4 linked regions of the Schizosaccharomyces pombe genome follow. The gene in region 1 interacts genetically with each later gene. Each region holds a gene or a part of one and is shown in the gene's direction. Other genes may lie near its edges. The genes, in order: rgf3, imp2, gef3 and rho1.

Region 1 (7,459 bases):
GGTGTGGTGTTTAAAGATGCATATAGAGCACCAAAATCATTTCCGTCTTTAAGAGTCAATGGGACGATCTGGTGATTATTTGAAGTACCAAAAACGGAAGGAAAAGATTCACTGTGCTCAATATTTTTCACAGGAGATGCTTCTCTCTGATGAGTTGGAGGTGCAGGAGGTTGAGACGATGGAGGCTGCAAACTCGTGGAACGAAAGGGCAAAGGTTTCCGAGGAAGCCTTCGCGTGGGAGGAGGAAGAGGTTTTTTTGAGACTGGAGCCGGTTCCATGAACGCAGGAGTACTTACAGTTCTCGCCGGCTCCCGTTTTCTTGGAGCACCAAAAATTTCCTCATAAGCACGCGAGCTCTCATTCACACCGAGTGCATTTGGATGCCGGTAATCCATTGCTACTATAAAAACAATCAGTTTGACGATCGAATCGACAATGCTGAATGTTTCCCGTGAAAACGAGGGTTTGGTGGTGGAGAAAAAGACAAGATAATTTGACCACAAACTTTCTGCGAAAGTAGCTACGAACTCGTTATAACGGTAAGATGATGAAAAATTCTAATTTATACGATTTTCTAAATCAAAGACCATTAATATGTAAATTGCGTATTGCTTGATGAATTAATGTTTTGCTTTAGTATATTGCTTTCACCTTCAATTTCTTTTGCATGGAGGGTTTCCACTCGAAACACATGCTAAAAGGCGACATAAAAAAAGGCTTTTGTTAGTGTTTCCAGAGTTGAATGTTTAAAATTTGATTTAAATTATAATAATAAGTTTATATAGCCGTCCTGGTTCGTTCAATGAAACAATTGATTTGTTTACTTGTCTGCTTAGCAATTTGAGAGAGCAACAGGTATATTAAGAAAAGATTATCCTCGAAGGGAAAAATACGTATACTTAATATATCAGAAGAATTGTTACAGCAGCAGTAAACCGCATTAATATTATGAAGGGATGAGAAGCTATAAGTCATCAGTATGCTGTTTTGGGCTAAGTTTATCTACTTCTTCTATAGATAAGGTGATTTCAATGTTGAATATGTAGTAAAAAAGTCTTGAACTCCTTAAAAAAAAAGTACAAATCTGAATTTTCACTAGTCCTAACAAAGTTAATATCAACATTCAACTGCATCCTGGTCGACTTTCCACTAAAAAAAAAAACGCTTATATAAAAAGGGAAGTCATGAATGAACTCCTTTACTTTATATTGCCTATTGCTTTTCTACTTGCTGCAATTTATGTGCTCACTTTTTCTGTCCGACCAGCTCATAATTGTATTACCGATTTACAAATATGAAAAACATCATCTAAAATAATTAGCTTTAATCCGGATAACCTCAATTGATCGATTTCTATGACTATGCTGTATTGACTTATTTTATTTTAATTGCGTTCGCATTGTTTACTATTCAGCTTGTGCTCAACATCATATAAATTGATCAAATATCTTTTTGTACACTTTATTTGCCCTATTTATCGTTTAAATCATGTAATCTAAATTTGGAAAATTTGCTAGTCAAAGACCAATTTTGTTCTTCCGTCGCGAACATACAACCAGCCATTTTCTTATCCACTCCGCTCGCCGTCCACGAAGATCCCTTGGTGGTGGGTTATAAGTTATTTAACATTTACACATATATTTAAAAACCATAAAGTCCTATAATCTTTTCTTAGGCATCGATTTTGATTTATCCCAAACGTTTCATTAGAAGAGGTTGTTTTTTTGATCAAGTCATTACCTTTCATAATATACTGCTTTTGCTTTCTCTCTTTCTCTGTCTATAAACCTACGAAACTTGATTCCTCTGAAACGCTTGGGAGCTTTCTTTCCTTTTTGGGTTGTTTCAATCAGATCATCCTATATTATTCCTTCCGCCCTAACCCTTTTATTGTGGCATCACAAACCGAATAAACAGACTGTTGCATTGATATTGCGATACAATTCTTTCTTTCTTTTTTTCTTTCTTTCTGTATTCGTAATTTTATGTCAAAGTCTTTTATTAATAGAGGACGGGAGTTTCTCTGGTTCATCGCATAACTTTGAAAGCATCAATCGTTTTCATTCCGGCTTACTATAAAATTGCTTTTTTTGAGGGCGTACGAGATTGGTTTGCATTTTTTGAATTCCATTGACACTGAATTTGTTCTATTTTAATTTATTTTCCCTTATTTTATTCCATTTATTAATTTCTCTTCGCATTTCTTTCTTTTTTTTTATACTCTTCTTTCTCAATTCCTTTTTCTATCTTTTTTCACCTCTCTTTTCTCTTTTGTTGCACTGTCCATCCTGCAACATTTAGTTTTGACCTTTCTCTTTCTTGGATTGCAATTGAAATTGACTCCTATTTGGCCTTAGCTTGCCTTGATTCTTCAAATATTATTGTAGTTCTTTTTTGACCTAGTCATTTTTGGTGATTGTGGTTCCCCCTACCACTTTTTCTTTTATGAAGCTCTCCAATGAACTTTTTCATCGGAGCTCGAAAGACCATGGTGGAAAGAGCCGAATTTGTTTAGACTCTTCAGAGGACACTTATCCTCCTCATTCCTCTTCTCCACCATCTTTTCAGAAACGTCTATCGTTTTCCGACTTTTCTACCACCAGACTCTTTTCTCCTCCTTTTCTTTCTAAACGTTCGAATAATTCTCCCCATCGGTTTTCTTATTCGCCTCCTCAACATCCAGCATCCATTAACTCTCGTAGAGTCGCGTCTTACACGGTTCAGTCATCTCCATCAAGAACAACGTATCGACAATTGCCGAATGAACCTCAAAATTCTGCAGCCTATACTACTTACTCTTCATTTCCTAATGCCTTATTTGATGATTTCAGTCCTAACAACCCGCTTGACACGGACCCCTTTTTAACATCTCCTGGAAACAAACAAAATACTGTAGATTCGTTTCGTCCATTACCTGAAACGCCTGTTTCTCCTGGTGGGTCCTTAGTGCATCCTTTACCACGTCCACCCCTTCCTTCTTCTGTTTCTTCGCATTCTTCTCCTTACAGCACCACATCCTCCACTAGTCTTTACTCTCTATACAATGACATATCGTTATCCTGCTCACCAGAGCCATATCTTCCTTTATCACCTACTCGATCACCGGCTCGCACTCCTAGTCCGATTCGTCTTTACTCGAGCGACGCTCTTCGTCCACAGTCGCCTTTAAGCCCTTCCGTCGAATATCTAACACCCCCAAATCCTTATAGTTTAAAATCTGATATTTCCTCTACAAGACAGCTACCAAAGATACCTGTCCAAGACTATGCATCTGGAAAAATTTCTTCTCCTTTGATAACTCGAACTCACAGACGTGCTCAATCGGAAACCCTTTTTAGCAGCTGTAGAGAACCTTGGTTGGTCGGTAAATTATACAAATGGTGCAAAGAAGAAGTGTTTACTGCTCTTGGTGGCCTGGTCCACGAAGGTGTGTCTCGTCGAGAAGTAGCTCAGGTGATGGCTACGCTATTTACTATTCACATTGCATCTATGGAATTTTTGATTGCTGAAATTATCGCGAAAAACATCCTTGGTGATTGGATTAATTACGGTCTTGTGGAAGTCATAAATCTTGAAAAGCTTCAAATTGCTTTCACATCTAATGAACCTCCTTCTGGTAGTGGAGTACTTCCATTTTTGACCAACGGCGGCTGTTACTCTTACATTTGTAGATCCAGATCATGTCCTTCCAAATATCAATGTTATAGCTGTAGATGTGCTCGTAACTCGTCGCTTGAATTCACTTCTCTGCCAGGACAGAGTAGCGATACTTGGAGCATTTTCTGGAACATTTCTTCTCTAAATTCATTACCATCTTCTCTCAGTAAAAGAGAGATTGCTAGGCAAAATAATATCCACGAGCTTATTTGTAAGGAATCTGATTACGTTGCAGACTTAAATACCCTAGCTGAACTGTTTAGGGACGGAATTGTGCAGCAGCAAGATGCGATTGTTCCCAGCAATCGAGTGGCTGACTTTATTCAATCTGTATTTGGAAATGTTGAATCAATCAGACAATTGCATTCTCGACTGTTCTTACCACAATTAATTATGAGGGAACGTCTCCAGGGCCCAGTAGTTTCAATTATTGGTGATATCTTACTAGAGTGGATTCATGCTGCTAAATCCTCTTATATTAATTATGCCAAACAGTTCCCTTTAGCAGATGAAACTTATAAGCTAGAATGTCAAAGGAATACTTACTTTGCACGTTGGCTTGCTGCTTGTCGATCAGATCCTAGATGTCGTCGGTTGGATTTCCAGCATTTCTTGCAAAGACCTACTCAACGTTTACAAAGATACACGCTTGAGTTGGATACAATTTTAAAGCATACCGAGCAGTCCAGCTGGGATTTTCAATTAATAACTCAAGCTGTCAAAGAACTGAGAGCAACTTGCGAGGAATGTGATGCCGTTATAGCTACCGTACTTGAGGCCAATCGTATTCGCGATCTATCGTATCAACTTCTGTTTAAAAATCATGAAAGTGTCAATCTAGAGCTAAGGGATCCTGAAAGAGAGTTCTTTTTTGAAGGAATAGTTCAACGTAGAAGTGATTCCCGCTTGGATTGGTTGGACATCCACTTGTTTTTGCTCGATAATTACTTGATCATGGCCAAAGCAAGAAAAGACAAACGAACAAATGCTTCAAGATATGTTGTTTCAAAAAGGCCAATACCATTAGATTTGCTTGTTCTAAGCCCTAAAATGGACGATTTTCAACTTAAATCAAACACTAATAAATTTCTTGGCAGTTTAGCTGGCAATTTACCACAGGAATCTCTTACCACTAAGAGTAAAAGGAAGAGTAAGGTGAATCTTGAACTAATGTTCGATGCCACTGCTGAAAAGAATAACGAAAACTCAATGAACTCTGCTGTATTTGAGAAGTCTCAACTTTACCCCTTCACAATAAGGCACCTTGGTGCTTACACCGCTAGTTATACACTCTACGTTGAGTCACTTCAGCTTCGTAAACTCTGGGTTGAAAAAATTAATGTCGCAAAAAAACGACACTCTCAGAAGATAAATATTAAGAATCCGTTTGCATTGAAAGTTGTATCTGACGTTGCCTTTCAGTACCCTCCTTCCGACTTAGTTAATGGAAATGAACCATTAAACAGCTTTAATGAAATTACTTTGGTTGAAGGCTCTTCGATTGATCGCGCACTCAATGAGGTAGCGTGGAAACACCCAATTGTAAGTGAGGAGCTTTTGCCAGAGCCTATTGCCTATGGCGATATAAGTTGTATTGCCCAGTTTAATGACTACGAAGGTCATGTCTCGGTTTTGATTGCTACATCTACCGGTATCTTTTTAGGCGCATTTGGTGATTCCAGTGACATTCGCGATTGGAAAAAGATCTCTAGTCAAAGACGCGTTACCCAGCTTGGAGTTGTTGAGGAATTTGATATCCTATTAGAGCTACGTGACAAAACCCTTTATGCTCATAAATTAAGTCGTATTATTGAAATGGGTCTGATCGAATCCAAAATTGCAGTTGTCATTGGAACTCCGCATGCCGTATCATTCTTTAAAATAGGTAAATTGTCTGAGGGGGCTTCTGTTAAACGTGAGCGAACTTTGGTTTTTTATAAAGAGGGACTCGGTAATACTACAACCATAATTTGCTGTGAACCAGTGATCGGCTTAGGACATAACTATCAGAAAACATATGCCTTCAAGAGAAAAGATGTTACTTCCTTCAGAACTCTGGATGATTTTCACGTAACGGCTAACTGTCATTCAATTGATTGCTTTAAGTATTCAATTGCTCTTTGTCACAATAAAGGCATTGACGTTCTGCGTTTGGACCCTAAATTAGCAGTTGGTTTTCCAAGCCCTTCAGTGCTTAATGATACGTTGTTTCGGAACCGAATCAACAACAGTAAGCCGCTTGGCGTCTTTCGCATCCACGATCCTAGCTTATTTGCATGCTGCTATCAATTCGGTGCCGTGTTTGTCAATGGAGAGGGTAGTATGGTTAATAAAGAGTGTTGGTTTGATTGGATTGGCAAACCGAACTCTGTTACCAGCTGTCATGGATATCTCATTGCATTTAATGATGAATTTGTCGAAATATGGAACACGCGAACTAGGAAACTTAATCAAATTATCCAAGGAAATGACATTAAATACTACCCTAGTAACAGTGATTGGCTAGCCAATGGGAAATATATAATGTTTGGCATGGTTCATCCTCAGTATCACGATCGCCATTTGATACTCGCTTTAAATAAGGCAAAAACAAACTCCTTCATAATTGAAGATTGATAATTATCATATTTATTACAAGTTTTCTTGCCATGATTGTCTTTTTTACTCATCCATACTTTTGAATATCGGAAACGTTTATCTTATTTTGTTTTACGGAACATCCTGCATCTTTCGAATCATATTTTATCGCAGCCTTGAAATTTTATTTCTTCTTTTTTTTTTTTTTTACATTTCCCTACCCATTTTATCACAAAGGAATATTAAAATCTGCATGCATTAACATTTTTTAATTACTTAAAATGATCGCTACTATCATTATGTTCAGTGTTAAGCCAAAATTGGCTTATTGTACAAGTTGCATAAACTTGCCGACTACAGTTGATGAAAACAGAGAACATTGTTGTTTTTTTACGTAACTGGTTATGGTATTCTGCATGTTTTGATCATAAGTTTAAAGATGTGGTTACACATTGAAGCACCATGCTTTCTTTCAAACACTAACTGAAGCAACTAACATTTCTGTATATTTACTTATTGATTATTACCAGGGCCATAGCTGTAGATGGTCAGTAAGCACATAATAATTACTGATTGCGATTATTAGCTAGAGCGTGTTCTTATAATTATTCAGTAAGAGGCATGATTAGAGTGCTATATATAAAATGTAGATAAATAAATGCCGAGTTTAGTTATTTGCTTTAAAAGTTGTGTTCGGTACGATGAGGAACATATTATTTGCGTATCTAGTCACAAATTACTCATATATCTGTAATAGCGGGAGTTTTTTATACAATCATTTTACCTAAAAGCACGGGGGAACATGAAATTTCGATTAAACCGTAACCCCTAATCCTACGTTCATTTGATGTTTTGAGTATTAGTACAATGTATTTTCAATTATTACTTAATATCTTCAATCTTGATGAAAGTAAAGCTTTAAAAATTTGTCAGGACTTTAATTGCAAAAGACCGAGTATATAATGACCTCCATCTATTAATATTATTTCTTTTAAAAGATATATATACCTTCTTAATTGTGATATTAAAATCATTATGTTATAGGAATGTTTCTGGATGCTACCTTAACCTATACTAAATGTTTTAACGCAAATATGATCAAGTACATAAACGTTCGATTAACGCATGCGTTAATCGAATGTTCAAGTGCTTAAATCATTAATTGCTGTGCGTTCAACGGGGAGTACAAAAAGTATCCAACAACATAGTTCTTTAACGTTTTCTC
Region 2 (4,751 bases), on another chromosome or scaffold:
GAACGGAAAGCAAAGTTCAAACCCAGTTTTACTCAAGGCACATTCGTCTCAAAGCGCATGCGTATGCATGCGGAGGATTTATTCTAGAAAATAGAAGAATGCAATTGATAAAAAAGAACTACACTTCTACAATTTAGAATATCGCTTTTCATATAAACAAGGTATGACTGATGTTAAATTTATCCATTTTTAACTACCCGTAATACTATTATACTTTAATGACAACGATTTTTGTTTTCTCTTTCATCAAGCATTGTATTGAATAACTTATAGACGAAGAATGCTATTGCTGCTGTGCAAACTGGCTTTATCAATTCGATATATAAACAGTTTTCGCCATGCATGGCTAAGATCGTAAAGTTCAGCATCACAAAAAGTTGGAGGATCATGTTTTAAAAGTGAGTATAAGTACTTGTAATTTTAGACACTACATTTTAGCAGGGGCTTCATCGGCTTTCGCCTCAGCACTTCTCTTGGAGTCGGCAGTATCGCTTTCCGACTTTACTGCTTTTCCAACGTCATCAAAAAAGTTGTTAATTCCATGTCGCACACGTTCAATACCATAAACAATCTTGTGGTCGGCTTTACGAACGTCTTCTTTACCTTCGCGTTCCATTATTTATAATTTCAGAGGATGTACAAAAAATTCAAGGTTGGTCGTATTATCAAAACTTCGCAAATGTATAGGGACAAAAGCAATTAATAACTTTAATCTCACCTAGTGTTTAAGTGTGATAGAATGAGTATTTATCACCAGTTGTTTTGTTAAAGAATAAACCGCCGAAGCCGGGCGGCTGCTGTATATATAGTAAACATATCAGCGTCCCTACCGCCAACCCATGACGTAAGTCGGGTTATTAAGAAATGCGATCTCGTGAAATAAAAAATAAGATTGAAAATAATGGAAATTGGAAGAAAAACCGAGAATTACAAGGGCGTTTTGTATGTACCTGATAAATGAATATGTTTAATCTATTTGACTCACATAAACGTTGTATTTATGTTTTTTTTAGTGTTTATTTATTTTTTCGATTAGTGTATTTCACTAAGTAAACAAATTATTATACGATTTTTTATTCACATCGAATGATGCTGCAGGTACAAATCGAGCTATCTAAAAAATATTACTTTTCAGTACGCCTGAACCGCTTGCATAGTATATTAAGTTTTTGATTAATAGCATGTTGCATTCCATTCAAAAATTTAATATTTTACATAGTAAAACGATTTGAGACGGGAGATAGCTATACAGAACGTGAAGTCTGCAAATACATACATGCTAAATCATTGTTTTATTAGCATAATGTCTAAGTCTATAAGTTCGCTTACCGGAGTTTATGGTAAGTATTTTTTTTCAGGACTGCCTTGGGTCGCTTCTCAAATCACAGTATTCACACATAATCAATACAAAATAGTGAGCAAAACTTGTGCGCTTAACAGAGATAACAATTATAGAGTCTCAAGGATGAATAAAGTGGACTTTGAATGAATCAATTGTTCACCATATATATCTCAGCATTTGAAGGCTTTTTATCTTTCCACTGCAATATTCTATTGCTTTTTTTTGATAGTTTAAGGCTGAAAAATCTTCATTACATCGGTTTTCTTGATAAATTTGTTAATTGTTGACATGAAAAGCTGCACCTGGCAACGCGTTGCCGTTTGTTTACCTCGTTGTTAGTTTCATTTACAATCAACACCACCACCATATACGAATAAAGAATACTGCCATAAAGGCGAGATTGAAAAATCTCTTAATTCGTGTTTTTTTCCGTTTACATGTCTCAACAATTAAGCTTTAATGCATCTTCAGCAAAGCCTGATAAAAGTTTTTCAAATTACTTTTGGGTATGGTGTCTAAGCCAACGTGGATAGCTCATTATCTGCCAAAACTTTCGATTTTTGTGTTAAACACAACACCTTAACTAACATTCTTTATTAGGGTGCAAATGATGAGGGTTATCATGCTTTACTTTCGCGTTTTAGCGATGTGAAACACATTAATGAAGAGCTTCGGTCGTTTTATCATGAAAGGTGAGAAATTTGAGGTGAAGCAGGGTTTAACATGCTATGATCGTTTATTCTAACTTCAACCTTAGAGCGAACATTGAAGAAGATTATGCCAAGCGAATGGCAAAGTTGTCTCGAACAACCTTCAGTTCTTTGGAAACTGGTTGCCTCAAAGAATCAGTCCAAGTTATGAAAGCTGAAGTTGACAATATGGCAAAGTCTCATTTGCAGATTTCTCAGTTGCTTCAGGATGATGTCGAAAATGCGTTTACGCGGTACGCTGCCTCTTTAAAGGACAAGAAAAAGATGATCGTTTCGGGGATAGAAAAAGTTCATAAGGATAAACTCTCCAAGCATCAAGCTCTTGTTAAAGCTCAAGACAAATACCATTACTTGTGCAAGAAAGTAAATTACTATGTTTCTCAGCAAAACATGCTTTTCGGAAAGGAGCTAGAGAAGAACAATGCGAAATTAAACAAGACTCAGAATGCTATCACTGCTAGTTCTTCTGACTATCAATCAGCTGTAGCAGCTGTCAGAGATTCATACGCTCGTTGGACCAACGAATGGCGGTCAACCTGTGACAAACTTCAGGACATTGAAGAAGAAAGAAGACATTTCCTGAAAAGCGTCATGTGGACATTTACACTACTTATCTCTCGTAGTTGCTTTAATGATGATCAAGCATGTGAACGAATTCGCAAAAATCTTGAACAGTGCAGTGTCTCTCAGGATGTTTTGGAATTTATTGACGCAAAATCTACAGGAACGGGAATTCCTCAACCTCCAAAATTTTATGACTATTATAAGGGCGAGGTTCCCGATGATTCTGTAGAGTTGGTTCAGGCTAATTTTCAGCGGGCCCAAACCAAAATAGAAAATGACAACATGCCATTGAATCGTCCATACGTCCTTTCTGCCACCGCTCGTAATGAGTCGTCCTTCGAAAATACCCTTCCTAATACTCCTAGTGCAATTCAATCGCTTACCACTGTTTCTTCTAACTCTTCCCAAAATGGTAGAAGCTCTCCAAAGAAAAGCTTTTTGAGTAAGTTTAAATTAACGAGTCGTCCTTCGACTCCAAACGTTGGTAATACGGCTCCGGATGCATTATCAAGTCCGAGAAATGACTCTCCTTTAACTTCAGCGGCTGATGAACAGATGAAGCATCTTTCTTTACAAGAAGAGCCAAAACAGAATCCTACGCCTGCTGCTCCTGGTGCCTTCCCTAACTCTAATACACTACCACCAAGGTATAACGAACTTGGTTCTCTACCAAGTCCTAATTCTGTTTCTTTCACCGAGGACTCCCGCCCAAATGTTAACACTCCATCACGGCGTCAACAAATTCAGGAAGAATTTGGTAGTGTACTACAAATGGAGAATCGTGCGGTTTCACCCGTTTATGATTCAAGAAAGAATGGATCTCGAAGTTCATTCACATTGAGGAAAAGTAGGTCACCAAAACGTCCTTCCTCTTCCCTTTCTCAGAATGCCAGCCGACTTCCTCGTTCCTTAACACCAGGAAATTTAGAGCCAAATTATGATTTCGGTGTTCGAGTTGATCCAGCAAGTGGTACTGCACCTACCGATGACGAGCCTTATACTGATCGGGACTCTTCCTTTGTTGATGATACAATAAATACAAAAGCTACTGGAAACACGTCTAACCGACTTTCTTTACCTGCATATCCTACAGACGGCGGTGACACCAGTATTGATAATCCAACAAGTACAGATGGTCAACGTATTCTTGGTTATGGTATGTCTAATCTGTCCATCGCTATTACAATTACTAACTTGAATTTAGTATCTGCTTTATATGATTATGATGCTGCAATACCCGAAGAGATAAGCTTCAGGAAGGGAGATACCATTGCAGTTCTTAAGCTTTATGAAGACGGCTGGTGGGAGGGATTTGTCGTTGGAGAGGATGACCATAACCGTGGGCAATTTCCGTCAAATTTTGTTCGTGAAATCGAGGTTTAGCTTTCGTATTATAGTTTCGCATTTTCTCATCTTTTCTCATTCTCATTTAAATCTAAAATACTAGATTTCTAATTTTGGTTGTTTTACATTATAGGATATTTAGAATGCTACACGTTTAGTTAAGTTATCTACATTATAAGATTATTATCTTATAAATCTTTATGAATTTTGCAGATTAAAATGATACCGATTGTTATATATAGCATTATGTTCAAAATGATTGAATTATTGTCATTCATTGCACCATTTTCTACCTAAATATTTCTAGTAATTCTCGTTTGCTTCTAAAATTCTGTAATAACTTAAAAAACATCAAATCTTTACCAATCTAAGTTAACACACAGGTCTATAATAGCTTCATGTATAACTAATTACTATTTCCTAGTAAGCTGTGACAACGTGGCCGAGTGGTTTTAAGGCGTTCGCCTGCTATTCTGTAGCCCAGCGGATTCCCTTTGGGAGCGCAGGTTCGAATCCTGCCGTTGTCGATATCTTTTTTAAGTTGCAAAGCGATTCACTATAAATTTTTGCGGTTCTATATTGGAAATCGCTATTCACTGTTATTTTTGTTACTTAGCAAAGTGGTTTTGTTGTTATAACTAACGTCTCCAACGATAAAAGACAACAATCTGCTTGTATTACTATAAATGCAAGATTCTTCCTCTTACGCGAGGCGTATGTTTTCTTTTTTTTCTTTTGACTAATAAGTTAACAATAAGTTTAGGGTATTCACAGGCACCTTCTTCATCTAA
Region 3 (4,578 bases), on another chromosome or scaffold:
ACCTTTACCTAAACCCAAGCCCGAAACCAAATGGCAACGGTTTGCTCGTATTAAAGGTATTGCTCCTAAGAAGCGGGAAGGCAGGTTGGTGTTTGATGAAGCATCTGGTGAATGGGTACCAAAATGGGGTTATAAGGGTAAAAATAAGGAATTAGAGACACAATGGCTTGTTGAAGAGGGAGAAAAGGAAAAGAAGCTTACTTCCAAGCAAGTGAGAAATACCTCAAAAAAAATCAAGCGCTCTCGTCGCCATTAATTGGTCCTGCTTAAAAAAAATTTTTCTTAATTTAAAAATTTACTATAATTTAGCTATTCATGGGTTAAGTGGTATAATATCATTTTTATTTTGTTATTATCGTTTGTTTTTGTTTGCTACAACTAAAATCCCTTCTTCAATTGGGATATCAACGGGTACAGAAGGAATATGTAAGACATCGGTTATGTGGCTGCTTTGTTTACACATTTTTATGTGTTAAAAATTAACGAGCACTTTTTTGAAGCTGCTACTCGAAAATCGAACGTTAAAATGTTGAATGTTTACGAGTTAAGTGTAAAGTAAGTTTTAACAGCAACTGTTTTGATACACTGTGGGATTTCCTCCAATTGAATTTTCTAATAACCTCTTGTAAAAAAAGTTTCATACAGTTAAAATGCGACCATATCGTAGTTAATTATTATTTTCTGTATGCAGTCTTAAAAGGCTGGAACATCATATTAAGAGCCCAACTCATGGCTAACTGATATGCAACATTTTTGAAATGTTCAACAAACAGAATTTCATCAGACTCAACAATAACAATCCTTTCTAAATTACTATATAGATTGCAACATCAGTCTAAATATCTGAATGCATTAGTGGTGTAGCGGTAACATTGGAGCTTCCCATGCTCTAGCTCCGGGTTCGACTCCCGGCTGATGCAAATATAGCTGTGAATTTTTAAAAATATAATTGTTTATGTTCTAAAATTGGTTTTTGCATTTTCTATGAATGATATACTCAATCAAAACATATCCTTTTGAGTGGTAAACATAAATTTTTAGTAGATTATATAAATAAATGTGCAAGCCATACTTCAATTTCTAATCATTTTTAAACCGAGTGTATAATAAGTTTTCTAATACTGACTTGTTTATTTAAATATTTAACATAATAATTAATTTTGATATGAGATTGATGCTTTTAGTAGTAATAATAAAAAAAATTTAAAAAATGCAAATAAATAGAAAAAAAATTAAAGAAAAACTCATTAATCCAAAAAAAAGCTTACCAATATTATCATTTGTTTCTCGGTTGGCTACTTCGTCGATTTTATGGTGTATATCATTAATTTTCTAAGTATTGTTTACGTTCGATATTTTAAGCAAATACTTAATGCATCCCCAAAGACCACTAGTTAGTTTTAAAAAATAAGAAAAGAAAATAATTTATGTACAAATAACTTTGCTTATGTTGATAAAGTACAATATCATTGTAGTCATTCTTTCAAAAGCGGAATTCTTTCCTATATCCACTAAGGTAACCTGGTTATTCTTGCCGTCCGCAACAACAAAGAAAACAGCTATTCAACTATTTCATTGATAAAAGCGTTACTCTTTGGATTAAATTAGCATTGTATTTAAAGAAGAAATCGACTCATCAACGGCCTTGCTACTCTGTTTTAGCTTTGTGAGATCTAATCAAACGCGCTACGAACTCCTAAGTGCCCGCGTTTGAGTAGATAACTCATTGAATCAACAGCCGATTAAAGATGAGTAACCCAAGGATGTTCCAAAGCCGTGGAAAAAGAGTTGTTTCAGATAGCTTGCCTATAGCCAATTCGACACACACTTTAGAAGATACTTTGAAATTACGGCCTGACTGGACCATAGCGTTAAGTCAACATGAAACTGAAACAAGGTCGACAAGAACTAGTTGTAGCACTACCACAGAATCGACGATTGCTATGAGGAGTAAACAAAAAGCCATTATTTCTGTTCTGGAGGAATTTCGTGATTCAGAAGCCGCTTACGTTCATGATCTGCATGTAGCTCAACGGTACTATGCTGACCGATTATCGGACCGAGTAAAAAAAAGCGAATGGAAAGATGTGTTTGAGATTTTTCTGGTATTGTGCAAGCAAGCATCACTTTTCGAAATCGAAATGCACAAATCCTTGAACGACGAAATCAATTACATTTTGGATGATCAAGATGCCTGTTTGAAGCCTAAGCCTTCCGTTGCACAACTATTTCTTTCATGGTTGCCCAAGCTATCTGCTGTCTATGGTCGATACTGCGTGATTCAAGAAAACATTGGCAAAAAGGTGGAAAAATGGATGAAGAACTCATCAATCTCAGAATATTTGCAGGAATGTGATAGCATGGCAAAAATTGAAAGTAACTCTTGGAATTTAGATAGTTTTTTAGTAAAGCCTGTGCAGCGTTTTCTGAAGTATCCGCTTTTACTAAATCAGCTTTACCGATCTGCTTCACTGGGTATCATTTCCGACTATGTGTTGCTCGGGGAAGCTTGTCACAAATCTGAGATCGCTAGCCAAAGAATGAATGAGTTAAAAAGGAGACGAGATATTATAATTACAGCCCTGGATAGCGTCTCGAATTCCCAAGAGGTCTTACTTCTCTCCACAGATTCAATTGACAAGAAAATTGCAAAGGTACGTCGGGTTCAATGATTTTCTATCTTTAAATTTTTCGACTAATTGTTTTTTAGCTTCAAAATTCTACAAACATTTTCTACGTACCTGAACATGAGCCCATTCTAGCGTTTGTCCATCAACTGTCTTCATCCTATACCAATCTTTTAAATTTACGAAGTGCTATCTGTGATTGGTTAAAATTCTCCAGATATCATTACCTAAAATTCTTTACCTTCGTCGAAGCCTATTCTGTGTTTTGTAAAGACACTAAATCTGCAGACAAATGGGCTCTCATTAGTGTAGCATTAGACAACATTGCCAAGGGTGCAGTGCTTCGTTTGACAGAGCAATGTCAAACATCCGTTTTGAGACCTATTTCCAATGGTATTCTTTTCTTCCGAAACCCCCTTTGTGTTACCGATGTATGGATCAAAAAAGCTACAGCATTTTCCAAGCGACGCCAATCTCAGGTTTTTGAAGAGGACCTTGAAAGCTTCCCTTTACTTAGTAATTGCCTTTTAGAAGAACTTCCTCTTTTTTTGGAGATGGCGCGTAATGTTACCGACGAATGTATATTAGCATTTGCTCAAATTCAAGCTACCTTTTACGATACCATTCAGAAAGTCCTTGAACCTGTCGTTGCAAAATTCAACTTAACTGACCACCAGGATATTCCATCGATTGAATCCATAATGGATTTCACCAGTTTGCGGTCTAGTATGGAGTCCTCCCCAAAATCAAAATGAATACACGATATTACGGATATTCCAATGACTTCCGTTACTAATCGACTTTTTGAACTTAAGTTATTTCTCTTTCATTTTTTTTTGACTAATGTGTCTCTTTTTATCACGGTTAAAGGTATTTATTTATTGGATCAATTTTTACAAAATCTTTCTTTTATCTAGGAGATACGTGCTTACTTTAGAATTTGGTTTTTATTAATTTGCTTTATCTTTTACGTATCCTTTTTCATTTCATTTTTGGATGGCAATCTAATTTTGTCACGCAGAAACATTTCCATTTTCAGACGCTTTCGTTTTTGTCGCATCTCCTTCTTTAATTTTAACATTCTTTTCTCTTTAATTTTCGTCGCATTTGTCAGTTTCTTTTGAAAAATACAGCATGCATTGTATTTTTACTACGACCGGATACCTTTCGTGTTAATATTTTACTTTCATCGATATCTTTTCAAAACATGATCATGAGAGGCATTGTATTCTGTTTTTGATATGCCCAATTAACTAATATTTTTCTTCAAAAGCTTCATTGTCTCTTTGCCTTTTATTATTAGTTTATCTATTTATTATGGATTAAAAATAAGGAATTCACATTTTATAATTACAAAACAACAAGGAGCTGACTAACTTTTACACCTTCTTTAAGGAAATAACAAAAAATTGCAAACTATTATAAATTATCTTTCAGTATTCAAATTGACATTTCAAACTCTTATGTCTAAATCTCTGCTTCAAACCTATTCTTGCTTCTAAACTCAATCTTCTTTCTCGACTTTTTCGGGAGTCACTTTTTTAAACAAATACTAATAAAGTAAATTGCTAGAGATACCTTTATTCACCTGCTCGTCTTTGCCAATTGCAAAGTACCTAATTGGCGGATTCCGATCGATACATAGTATGGTGGAATCTAAAATTTTTATACTTACAGCATTGCCGGTACAGAGTATGGATTACATTCTGTAATTAATTATTGCATTTAGTACTCATATATCGTGTCACTTCTTTTAATTCAACCATAAACCATTTCTTCGATGATCTACTTGAAATATCAGTTGGTACAAGTTACACATAGGTTGCAACATTTCAGTGCTTGACATAGGATATTTTTATATGAATGTTGGAAATAATGCATTTTATTGTAAACTTGAATAGGATTCCTGTATGCCAATTATCGTCGGGAAACGCTACGCATACCCCGGGAG
Region 4 (4,301 bases), on another chromosome or scaffold:
ATTATACCCGCATCTCTGAAAATAATAACAACGCTGAACGTCGACGCAAACCATTACCTAACAATGCTTTTCGTTAAACGTGGATGGAAAATGTTGTGTCGTATTACATATATATTACATTCCATCTACCTTACACATTCTTTCATTATTATACAATTGTTGTCTCTGAGATTTTTTTAAACTATAATTTTCTACAAAGTTTGGGGTAAAAGACCTTTAAAACAATTCACACAAGCATTCTTACAATGAACTCGACGAGGAGGTTCAATAAGCAATCAATGTCTAAATCTTATTTTTAGACAAAAGTCAACTATTTAGTGTATTCGCATCCTTTTTTTTATTTATGGTTCTTTTTTTAATTATATTTCAGAATTTTCCCTTCATTTCTGCTTCTTTTCTTTTATTCCATAATTGTTATAGTGTATAGGTTTAGTTACCATTTAAGCATATTTGTTGGATGTGCATCAGAAAGCAAAAAAACTTCACCCGTTTGATTAAAATGCAATTTAGTAAAAAACATTTACTTCTGATTCAAGTTACTTCTTCACGTCTTAAGATAACTGATAATAGAAAACGACGTTTATTAACATTTTATTGAAACAATCTATAGACACCGGTAAGAATAAATCCATAAGCCATTCCCAAAATACCGAATCGTTTAAGCTTGTAATTGGGTGTATTCAAAGGAATTCTAGATTGCGAATAGGCATATATTCCTAGACCTGTGAAAGCGCCTGCGCCCACCAAGCGGCATGGCAAGCAATCGTACTGTTCAAACCTTGGATCGTCTAAATCGACGGGTTTGGGAGTTTGTTGGAAACTTGATGATGGCATCATCGAAAGCTATCAGTTTAATTTATAAACTATAAAAAAAAAGTAACCGCGTAAATATATATGTGTATAATTAAGAGGCCACACAGCTTTCAACCACTTTCACTTTATAAACAAGATTAAAGCACTAAAAGGTAAAGTTTACTCAACCCGCTTTTTCTTTTCTTGTCAACTACAAAATGAAATGTCAGCGATCAATAATACGGTATCCAATTTGATAGATGTTCAATAATAACGACTCAGGACTTTTTTCTCTTTCAATTTGTGGGAAATCTATAGGGCGCGCTGTTCAAACTGTTTAATATATTGGTCTTATGTTCTCCAGTACTGAAATGAATCAATGGCAAAAGTTAAAAGAGACAAAGTAGTGAGTTAAGAGCTAAGTTATAGATCTACTGAAACCGTCTGTTTTATTTTAACTATGAAGAAGAATAAAAGAGGCTAAAGTTACATTTCATTTTTGTATATTTGTAGATCTGCTACCGGATCAATATTTTTTTGGGCGATATAATTTTAGTAAAATTAAAGTAGGATTTTATTGATCTCGAGAAATAAGAGAGCAAACAAAACGACGATAGAAAGAAAGAGCATCGTAATATTGCTTTATTACTTCAATCTGACATGTAAAATTATTTTTCGGCACCAAAAATTGCCGCTTTTTGAATTTAGGAATTCATCTCACATTTGCATTTTACAAATAGAATGCTGTTTAATTTTATGAGTATACAATTATAATTATAGCTATTTATACGAAGCTTTGCTTCTTTATGTCTCTTCCAAAAGTTTCTATATTCCTGCTATGTTTATTATTTATAAAATACTGAAATAAAGTGTGTACGTTAAAATAGGATAAGCGGATTAAATGCGTTCCGTTATCTTCGAATATTATGACTAAACTGAATACGTTAACGAAATTTTTCCGCTGGTTTCTGCTTTTTTTGGCGTTTGTGATTCAAACAAAAAAACGTCTGTTGACATCAAGTCGGAGTGGAGACAATCTTTTTGTAATAAAACTGTTTTAATTGCACTTTACACTCTGTACAGGCTCAGCCTCGTCCATACATACTCAAAGGGTTCATCTATAAGAGCGCTAGGGCAAAGTAACGAGATTTAGTGAAGTGTAGTAGCGTCTCCTTCTTTCCTTTCGTTGTTACATGAGCCGCTGACAGCCTAGTAAATAGCTAACCACTGCCACATCGAAGGAAAGAGCGGTGTCAGAATTTGAGTCGAAAAACGTTTATTTACGTCGAAATTTTTCTGTCTAGAGCAGGAGAAAGTAAACAAATCTAGGGATGGCGACAGAACTTCGCAGAAAGCTCGTTATTGTGGGAGATGGTGCATGTGGTAAAACATGCTTATTAATGTAAGTAAAAATGGTGCAAGCGTCGGAAAGGTAGTAGAAGGGTAAAGTAGTTGCTTGGGCCTGTTTTAAATTGGCAAGGGTTTACATCTCTTGCTTAGCATGGCTGGAGAAGAAAATTATTTCCGTAAGCATGTTCATTGCCTCAAGAAAATAATGAAAGAATCCCCATAGAAATGAGACTTAGATGGGGTTTAGATTACATTTAATAAATGTTCCGAGGATTTAATTTGCACTCCGTACCCTGTATTTCTACTTACTCTTTGCTTGCTTATCTGCAATGTTTCACGAGTCTGTGTCATTGTTATACAACTTCTAACATTTTTCTTTATAGTGTATTTTCTAAAGGAACCTTTCCCGAGGTCTATGTTCCCACTGTTTTTGAAAATTATGTAGCTGATGTTGAGGTTGATGGACGCCACGTTGAGTTGGCTCTTTGGGATACGGCTGGACAAGAAGATTACGACCGTCTACGTCCCTTGTCATATCCTGACTCACATGTTATCCTTATTTGCTTTGCTGTTGATTCTCCCGATTCTCTTGACAATGTTCAAGAAAAATGGATTTCCGAGGTTCTCCATTTCTGTTCCAGTCTTCCTATTTTGCTTGTCGCTTGCAAGGCTGATCTCCGTAACGACCCAAAAATTATTGAGGAGTTATCCAAGACTAATCAGCATCCCGTCACCACAGAAGAAGGTCAAGCAGTAGCTCAGAAGATTGGTGCTTACAAATACCTTGAGTGTTCTGCCAAGACGAATGAAGGTGTTCGTGAGGTTTTTGAATCAGCCACTCGTGCTGCTATGCTCAAACACAAGCCCAAAGTGAAGCCCTCTAGTGGAACTAAGAAGAAGAAGCGTTGTATCTTGTTGTAAACAGCTTGTTTCCAAATTTTTTAACTTAGAGAATTTATCTTTTCTGTTTTTATACATCTCTTCAGTCGAAGCACATTCAACAAGTTTCCGTATTTTTTCGACTTATGTTGATTTTTATTTCACCTTCACCTTGGTGGGAGTTTTGCATTGTGTGGCCTATCATGTTACATAGTCATTATATCCTCTCATTCTTTCCTTTTTACTTACCTCAAGTCGTGCCATTTAGTCAGCTTGGCAATGATTTAAGCGCATTTCATATAGCTGTTCTACCATTTCCCCTCACTGTTCTGCAACGTATAGGCACCTGCAAGGAGTATGCGTCTTGTTTTCAGTCTTTGCTTACTTTGCTATACTCTTCGCTATTAGTTTGAAGAAAATTTCCCTTATTGCCTTGTTATTGCATGGTTTTATTTTTCCTATAATACCTTGTTTCTTTTGTTAAGGATTGCCATCATTATTATCCTTTCTACCTAGTCAAAGGACTTGGTAAATTTTTATAAATCGGTAATTTAAAGAATATACACCTCGATTGAAACTCGATCAAAACCCGAATATTTTATAAGCTTTCTCACAGCACGTAATTGCTTATTATCGTGGAACTTTAGCTGGGTCTCCAATTTTGCACTAGAATTATTGTAGAAAATTGAAGCGACATTATCTCTGTTGATAACCTTGCTGGTATACAGGCGCTTGGTATTTTTATACACGTTGATAGTCGAAGTAGCAGATAGCCGTAGTTGATGGTTTAAACATTTTGTATTTTGCGGAAATTTGCACACTGTTTATATCTCATTCTCTTTACGTCAAGCATACCAATGTTTGCAATTTCATGTTTTGAAGGTGACCGTTGTTATTCTATCTATGCATTTGTATTACCATTTGATTTTCACTCTGTCTACAGGCAAGATTATCAGATGAAGATATAAGCATTGTTGACTTTACCTAAAAAAAAGGATAATTGCGAGGGAGCAAATAGTGAATTAAAGGGAAAAGAACAAAGTTTTTGTAGCTACTAAAAGCTGTTTGTCTATCTCTATGTGTACCTTTTATAGTGCTTATAAGTAAAATGCAGAGTCGAAATCTTCATGCTTTAATGTAAAGCATTAGTAAGGTTACATATTACAACAGAAATGGGAATCAAAATCTTAAATCTAAAAGTTGAGAGGTCTTAACAAAAAAGCTAACTCAACTTAGCTTTACAATTTATAAATCAAGGAAACAATACTTTATCAATTGTA

Evidence for each region.
Region 2: mutations in rgf3 (region 1) and imp2 impair growth when combined (synthetic growth defect), as found in Schizosaccharomyces pombe (one study listed by BioGRID).
Region 3: of rgf3 (region 1) and gef3, a mutation in one rescues a mutant of the other (synthetic rescue), as found in Schizosaccharomyces pombe (one study listed by BioGRID).
Region 4: of rgf3 (region 1) and rho1, extra expression of one rescues a mutant of the other (dosage rescue), as found in Schizosaccharomyces pombe (4 studies listed by BioGRID).

Annotation. Positions count from the first base shown.
Region 1 is NC_003421.2:1,238,199-1,245,657, reverse strand, and holds rgf3 (RhoGEF for Rho1, Rgf3), read left to right. Parts: upstream 1-1,624; 5' UTR 1,625-2,445; coding exon 2,446-6,273; 3' UTR 6,274-6,937; downstream 6,938-7,459. Other genes in the region: RhoGEF family guanine nucleotide exchange factor Rgf1, read right to left, coding at 1-395. UniProt on the Schizosaccharomyces pombe protein: Stimulates the exchange of Rho1 GDP-bound form into GTP-bound form. Regulates, via interaction and activation of Rho1, beta-1,3-glucan biosynthesis and cell wall integrity during septation. Involved in the regulation of contractile ring assembly.
Region 2 is NC_003423.3:3,346,202-3,350,952, forward strand, and holds imp2 (F-BAR domain protein Imp2), read left to right. Parts: upstream 1-1,698; 5' UTR 1,699-1,779; coding exon 1,780-1,848; exon of another isoform or gene 1,849-1,942; coding exon 1,943-2,034; exon of another isoform or gene 2,035-2,099; coding exon 2,100-3,772; exon of another isoform or gene 3,773-3,820; coding exon 3,821-3,999; 3' UTR 4,000-4,251; downstream 4,252-4,751. Other genes in the region: SPOM_SPBC11C11.01 (U2-associated protein), read left to right, coding at 1-87; protein tam11, read right to left, coding at 428-616; protein Ndc80, read left to right, coding at 4,647-4,674, 4,724-4,751. UniProt on the Schizosaccharomyces pombe protein: Required for normal septation. Involved in the disassembly of the medial ring during septation.
Region 3 is NC_003423.3:2,068,638-2,073,215, forward strand, and holds gef3 (RhoGEF for Cdc42/Rho3/Rho4 (Gef3)), read left to right. Parts: upstream 1-1,533; 5' UTR 1,534-1,748; coding exon 1,749-2,654; intron 2,655-2,710; coding exon 2,711-3,382; 3' UTR 3,383-4,042; downstream 4,043-4,578. Other genes in the region: ribosome biogenesis protein Rrs1, read left to right, coding at 1-256. UniProt on the Schizosaccharomyces pombe protein: Has a role in the control of cell polarity and cytokinesis. Involved in bipolar growth and septum formation.
Region 4 is NC_003424.3:4,222,057-4,226,357, forward strand, and holds rho1 (Rho family GTPase Rho1), read left to right. Parts: upstream 1-2,014; 5' UTR 2,015-2,123; coding exon 2,124-2,194; exon of another isoform or gene 2,195-2,266; intron 2,267-2,429; exon of another isoform or gene 2,430-2,525; coding exon 2,526-3,063; 3' UTR 3,064-3,768; downstream 3,769-4,301. Other genes in the region: plasma membrane TRP-like calcium ion channel Pkd2, read left to right, coding at 1-77; protein tam6, read right to left, coding at 592-837. UniProt on the Schizosaccharomyces pombe protein: Involved in the regulation of cell wall growth and actin cytoskeleton organization. Activates (1,3)-beta-D-glucan synthase.